2 linked regions of the Cricetulus griseus genome follow. The protein of the gene in region 1 purifies or fractionates together with the protein of each later gene. This does not show direct contact. Links are inferred from orthologs where the notes say so. Each region holds a gene or a part of one and is shown on either strand. Other genes may lie near its edges.

Region 1 (3,577 bases):
CAATTCGTACCTCCCCACACACATTTATTTACTGTCTATACATGCTTACACGTGAACATTTGGAGGTCAGAGGACAACCTGTGGAAGTCTCCTTCCACAGTGTGGGCCCTGGGGACTGGCAGCAAGCACCCTTAATCTGCCAAGCCATGTTATTACCCTGCCCCTCCTTTTTTTCTGAGACAAGATCTTATGTAGCTCAAGCTAGCATCAAACTCTATATGTAGCCAAAGATGACTTAGAGCCCCTAATTCTCCAGCTTTGTGAGTTCTGGGATGACAGCTTTGTGCTGTTGAGCAAACACGCCCTACCAACCAAGGTACAGCCTCAGCTAAGGCCTCAACCCATCCTCCCCAGTTTGGGGATTCCAGGCAGGCCTCACCCCACCCCACCCCACCCCAGTGTCCTGCATCAGACTAGTTTAAATCACTTATCATCTAAAGAATCCTGGGTCAACTGGCGGTAGTGGCGCAAGCTTTAATCCCAACACTCAGGAGGCAGAGGCAGGTGGATCTCTGTGAGTTCAAGGCCAGCCTGGTCTCCAGAGTGAGTTCCAGGACAGCTAGGGCTACACAGAGAAACCCTATCTCGAAAAAAGGAAGAGGAGGAGGAGGAGGAGGAGGAGGGGAAGGAGGACCGTCATCCTGGTAACAGGTGGCTCTGGTTCACAAACATGGGGAACACGGGCTCAGGCTCACTCACCTTGATGAACAGTCTCCACCACTGCCAGTTCCTCAGCTTGAGATAGGCGGCACAGTTCCTCTGCATCACCCGCAGGGCGCTCTGCTGCTGCTGCCTTCTCTGGAAGGCCCTGTGGGCACACGGATGACAGTAGGAGCAGCCATTGCAGACTTAGTTACTTCTCAGACGGGCTCTCACGTAGCTCAGGCTAACTTGGAAGCCCATCCTCCTTTCTCCGCCTCGTCAGTGCAGGCAGGGATGATGGGGGCTTCCTGCTAGGTGAGCCCTGTGCCCGCTGAGCTGAAGTTCCATCACGGCAGACTTTATGAGTCTTACACATCCTGCTCTTGGCTCTGTCCTCCAGCCCTCAGCCTCCCTCCCTTCCCCTCAGCCCACCCCAACACACTGACCCTGTTCTTGGCTCACAGTCCTCCACAGCTCCCCAGGACCCCTAGGCAAGGTCACAGCCCTCAGCCTGGGGTTGCAGCATCCCTTCTACTGGCTGTTTGTTCTGAGGGGAGGAGAAACTGCTCTACATCTGCCTGCAGCCTGAGACAGGCCAGGTGCCCTGCCCCAGGCCCTTACACAAACCAGCCTTCCATTCTCTCGGACCCAGTTAGCCTCTATCAGGACACGTCACTCCTCTAGCTGGGGTCCTAAACACAAGCATGTCCTGCAGGACTCCAGCTCCCTTTGGGTGTCCGCAGGCCTCTGCCCAGCCTCGGCCCATCACTCGTGGCACAGCCTGGCTTCCCTCACCTGCGGGCCAGGTATCCCCGTGCTGCTGCCTGGAAAGATACTATGATGTCCGTGACCTTCAGGTCCCGCTCTTCCTCCAGCTGGGCCAGGACTCCAGCACGGAAGAAGATCTTGCTTTGGCCAACACGGTATAGGTTGGGGTCTAGCTCCAGGGCCTGGATCTGGAGGGTTAGAGTGGGAAGGAGAATGAGATGGAGAAAAGGAAACAGTATCAAGAAGGACAATGGGGAGTCCCCCACCACCTGGATTCCCTGTCCAGGCGCTACACCTGCCCCAGACCCCGCTCCCAGGCTCCCACGCCCCCCCCCCACCTCACAGGCCCCATGCAACATCTTTTAGCAGGTCAACATTTCCCATATATCCAACACCAAAGGCCCTGCCCAGGCTGTTAGTAACACCCCCATCTACAGGCTCCGCCCCCAGCCAAAGCACCCTTAGCCATAGGCCCACCCACTGAGCAGGCTCGCCTCAGATCGCAAAACCCTACCCCTCCACAGGCCCTGGCTCCCATAGGCCCTTGCCCCTACCCACCATCTTTTCACAGGCCTGCTTGCCATCCATGAAGCCCTTGGGAATGGCGTTTGGGGTGAGGATCTCATAGCTGCAGCCAGAGGGGAGGAGGAGGGAAGAGGAGCACAGCATCATGAGACCATATGAATAAGGCTTGGTAGAGATAGGGATGCTAACCACACCACTCAGACAGTTTTGGAAATTTTTTTGAGTCAGGATGTCACTATGTAGCTCTGGTTGGTCTAGAACTCTCTATGTAGACCAGGTTGGCCTCAAACTCAAGAGATCTTCCTGTATCTACTTCCTCACTGCTGGGATTAAAGGCATGTACCGCTATGCCCAGCTTCAACTTCAGTTTTATTTATTTATGTATGTATTTATTTTGGGGGGCGGGGTTTGAGGCAGGGTTTCTCTGTGGCTTTGGAGGCTGTCCTGGAACTAGCTCTTGTAGACCAGGCTGGTCTTAAAGTCACAGTGATTTGCCTGCCTCTGCCTCCTGAGTGCTGGGATTAAAGGCATGCAATTTCAATTTTCAAAGTTCGGCTGGCACTCCAGGACCCTTTTTCCTTCCCCTCTTAAACACCACAGAAGGGAAAGTGAGACTCAGAAACCTGGCTTCAAGCCCCAAGGGATTTGACTCCCATCCTGCCCAGCCCCCTGGAGCCCTTTGCTCACCGCTGCCGGAACTCCTGGAAGAGGATGCGGTTGGGGAAGCCCTGGCGGCAGATGCGGATACCCTCAAGGACCCCATTACAACGGAGCTGGTCCAGCACCAGGCGGGGCTCCAACTTCCCAGCCTGCAGGAGTGACAGCAGGGTCAGTGGAAGCCACCAGGGGTGCCACAATCAGGGCTGTGGCAAATGTTTTACCACTGAGCAACACCCCCAGGCCTCTTTTTCCTTTTTTATTTGAAACAAGGGTTATTAAGTTGCCCAGGCTGGCTTTGAACTGGTACTGTAGGTGAGATTGGCCCTGAACTTAATACCTTTTCTATCTCGTTGTTCCTAGTGCAGGACTGACAGGCCTGGCCTGTATCCCAGCAGCCCTTCCCATTCCTTATTCTCACAATGCCCCTACCTGTCTCTGGGCACAAGCTATCTCTGCTTGGAAAACAGCTTAGGCTGAACAGCTCAGTTACCTCCCCTCCAGGGAGCCTCCTCTGACTCCCTGGCTAGGTAAAATCTAGTCTGACCCTTCTCAGCCCTTCAGGTTCACCTGACATTCACTTTGGGTGGTTAGCTGAATGTGTGTTTTATGAAGTAAGTACTTCTTTTGCCCTGTAACTGTTAGCTCCCTGCAGACACAGAAGCAACTGGCACAGGCTCACCTCTTTGCCACCATGTCCCTAAGTCCTGTCTCTGCCACAGTGGACACTCAAAATGTTTAGGTCAGAGAAGCAGAGAACCCAGACATGGCAGCCACTTGTACCCACTCAGAGAGTGCAACAAGCTGATTGGACACTTCCTACTCACCCTCTTCTCGTGATTGGGGACGATGCAGCGGACGAAACTGGGGTTGGTATTGCTGAGTGTGGCCATGAGGCGGCTCAGCGATTCCTTGTAGAGCTGCCCCACAGTCCGGAACATCCCACGGCGGGGGCGACCTCCCGGAGGACCATCCCCGAGGCTGC
Region 2 (3,577 bases), on another chromosome or scaffold:
AAGTCAAAGATGCTCTAATGAAATAATTATGCCTATAATATGTAAACACAGAAATAACACTAGAGAATAAATATATTCACTAACTGGACACTTCTGGTCACTTATTCTGAGATATCCAAACTTTTGTCAAGTACATAATAAACAGTATCTACTTCTTCTAAAAGATATGTGTCATGAAGTAAACAATTCCGTTTATTTGGATTTTAACTCTTTACAAATCCTTAACACATCCAAAAGGGGATAAGGTTGGAGTCAGGACACTGTGTATAATAAGAAAACAGTAGGTAGAACTCCACAGCAGATGGATTAAGGGAAAACAAAAAAACAAACAAAACAAATAATTTAAGACTCCCCTGGCTGTGTTATTCCACTTGAGCTGCTACACTACAAGAACAAAATCAGAAAACAAAGCAAAACAAAACAAAACAAAACAAAAATACCCTAGGTGGCAAATTTTGAAATCTGAGAAAGCCAAGATCAAGTTCTGGTTCATAGGCAGTGGTTCACACTGCCTTCTGTGTCCCCTTATGACAGAAAGGGTGAGGGAATGTGACTCAGGCCTCTAGTAAGGTCCCATCATGACTTAATCCTTTCCCAAGGGTCTTACCATTATCAAAAGGATCAGGATTTCAGCATACCAACTAGGGGAAGCACACATTTCAGTACACAGTATTGGCTAGGAAGTCACCTCAATATAGACTCTATACATTTTAAAATAAGACTTGAAATTCAGTCTTAAGGTCACTTCTGTATTATTTAGCTTTTCTAGAGTTACATACTTTTACAATAATTATGAAATAAGTTGCTTAACTAAGGGATTAAAAGAGCTAACCCTCAAAACAAAAACATTTGACAAGTTTTTCTGTATGTTGGTCTGCTGTGAATTTAAATTACTGGCTATGTGTCAACAAGATAAGAGAGCAGATGGTTTCAAAAGACTAGACATTCCTTACAAATACATTATAGCCAGACACTTACATATCCCGTAAGTCATCTGCTCACTATATCTCTCCAAGTCAAGCTGAATGCTTTTGTGAAAAAACTCCAATTTAGCTTTGAGTTGCTGTGATGCTGAGATCAAAGTATTCTTCATTTTTGTCAAGTTAGCATTATATCTAAGAAGACTTAACCTAAGCCATAGCAAAACAAAACAAAATTATCAACATTCAGAAACATTGAATAACAATTTGCAAACATACAGTATCCAAACTCCAAAACCTAAGTTTCTATTATCAAATCCTGAGAAACAGCTGACCTATTTCCAGACTGTGAGGTCTGTGATAAACAACCTTCTTCAGCTAAGGCCACTCAGGAACTAGAATTTTCAAGACATTACAGCTGAATGATTTCAGACCATTAATAAGAAATCTTAAGTCTGGTCAGAACACTGCATCTCAATGGAGTCAGAGTGATGGCCCAGTGGGCAAAGTGCTTGCTTTGCATGCACGAGGACCTCAGCTTAGTGCATGGCAAGTGAGTGCTTGGAGGCATGGGGAAACAGGCAAACAGAGGAGCCCATGGGCCATTCAGTCTAGCTGAAACAGTAAGCTCCAGGGTTAGTAAGAGATCTTGCCTCCAAACTTAGGTGAGAAAACAATAAGGGAAATATAGCCAACATCAACCCTGGCTTCCACGTGTGCATCCATTCACATGCTCATAAACACATTATTAAAAACAGTACACTTCAAAATATGTTCAATATTTTAGCCTTCTACACAATTCTCAGGGAAAACTGGCAAGAATAATTCTTGAGTACATGATACAAGTGGTGTTATGCTAAAAAAACAACCAGAACCCACTTACATTGCCGCTCTTTGTCCCTGAAAGAGCCTGCTGTAATCTTCTTTTAGTCCAGATACATAGTGCACTGCTTCAGCCCATACTTTACGCAGCTGTACAATTGGAAGCTGTATCTTGCTGTCTTGAACTATAAGTAAAATGGTAATAAGGGAGGTAAGCCACTTTCAGACACTATAGTTCATTCTTTGTGACGTCTTTTCCAAAAACTATTCCCATAGATGTTAAAAAGAATCTACTGCCTGGCTCTAGATATGAGAGTTGTGTGTCTGAATAACATAACTACTTCATTATTTCTGTATGTTTTTCTTTTAAATTTGCTTCTCTCCAGTCAAGAAGTCAAGAATATTCATTTTCTTTCTGCTAATCCAAATTCTTTACTTCTAAAAGCTTTGGTTCAAGTTCCTTCTCCTCCACAGTCCACCAGTCTTTTCTGTTTCTAAACACCAGCTCAGATTTATGAAATTTACAGGCAAAGCTGTGTGTAAATATCTGAACACACCTAACGAAGGAACAATTAAAAAAAGCAGGCACAGTGCACAGTGGGCTTTCATTCTTCTATCTATGGAGCCCTATCCTCAGGAAGGGAAATCTCCTCCCAAGAGAAGAGTCTAGTGGTAATTTAAAATCTACCTTTACACCTTCCAAACTACATTAAATCCATTTTCGCCACATATAGAAATCTCAAATAGGAGATACTGAACAAAACCACTAAAAAGATCATATTTACTAATCATGTAATTTCAAGATTAAAGTTCAGCCACTAACTGGACTCTACTTACCAATATAATTTACACAATCAGACAAACTTCTGGATGCAAATGGTCCTTCATACACAGTCTTACTTTTATCAAACAAATAAACCATGTAGCTATCACAGCCTCTCTGAAAAAAAGAAACAATTAAAATGCAAAGATTCTTGAAAACTCTAGATTTTACAAATACTTAAGTGCCAGATTTCCTTCTTTGAAATGTACTGAACAAAGTCACTGTGCATTCACATCTAATTTATAGATGTGGGGCAAAGGGTTAGTAAAAAGATATATGGAGTCAAAGTAAAAAGTGATCAGCAGACCCAAAGGAACAAACAGAGCAGGTGTGGGAAGAGGGTAATGGGGTTGGTTAGCAAGGAAGCAAAAGGGAAGACTGTTTGGGGAGAGAAAGACCAACAAAGAAGGGCAAAATGGAAGAGGTAGAAATAAGAAAAACTATGGTGAATATACATGCATAAAAATGCCATAACAAAACCCACCATTTTGTCTGCTAACTTAAAAAACTAGGAAAAACAAAGTAAGTTTCTAATCTCAGTACTTAAAAGCCAAAAGAACAAATACAAAAGGTCATACTGGTGAATGAAACACTCAGTAGTAAACAAAAGAAAAAGACTAGGTACTAGAGTAATTCCAAAACAGGGTAGGGTGAGAGTCAGCTTGGGCTACACAGCAAGACTCTTTCTCAAAAGGTCCAACAGGAATGAAACACCCTATAACACTGATAACATTCAAAAACGTAATGCTAGTGTTGGGGAAATATTTCATCAGTAAAACACCTGTTATACAAGCATGGAGACCCGAGTATAAGCACCATAACCCACATTTAATAAGAGTTGGGTTTTGTGATTCCAGCAGCTTAGCCTAATCAATAAGTTTCAGGCCAATGAGAGAGCCTTTCTCAAAACAAAGGAGATGACTGTCATTGAGGAATGGCGACTGAGGTTGACCTTTGGCTTCCATGGGCACATATGTACATGTACACCCTCATAAACATCTGCACTCATACA

The links. Proteins that work in one complex are often made in the same cells at the same time.
Region 2: the proteins of Myh14 (region 1) and Chuk purify together in Homo sapiens (affinity purification with mass spectrometry; 3 studies listed by BioGRID and IntAct, with this or other methods). This does not show direct contact. The link is inferred for Cricetulus griseus from reciprocal best matches to the Homo sapiens genes MYH14 and CHUK.

Annotation. Positions count from the first base shown.
Region 1 is NC_048599.1:153,502,299-153,505,875, forward strand, and holds part of Myh14 (myosin-14), read right to left. Parts: coding exon 3,420-3,577; intron 2,745-3,419; coding exon 2,623-2,744; intron 2,039-2,622; coding exon 1,969-2,038; intron 1,599-1,968; coding exon 1,438-1,598; intron 809-1,437; coding exon 700-808; intron 1-699. UniProt on the Homo sapiens protein: Cellular myosin that appears to play a role in cytokinesis, cell shape, and specialized functions such as secretion and capping.
Region 2 is NC_048596.1:17,462,197-17,465,773, reverse strand, and holds part of Chuk (inhibitor of nuclear factor kappa-B kinase subunit alpha), read right to left. Parts: intron 2,683-3,577; coding exon 2,580-2,682; intron 1,928-2,579; coding exon 1,804-1,927; intron 1,131-1,803; coding exon 979-1,130; intron 1-978.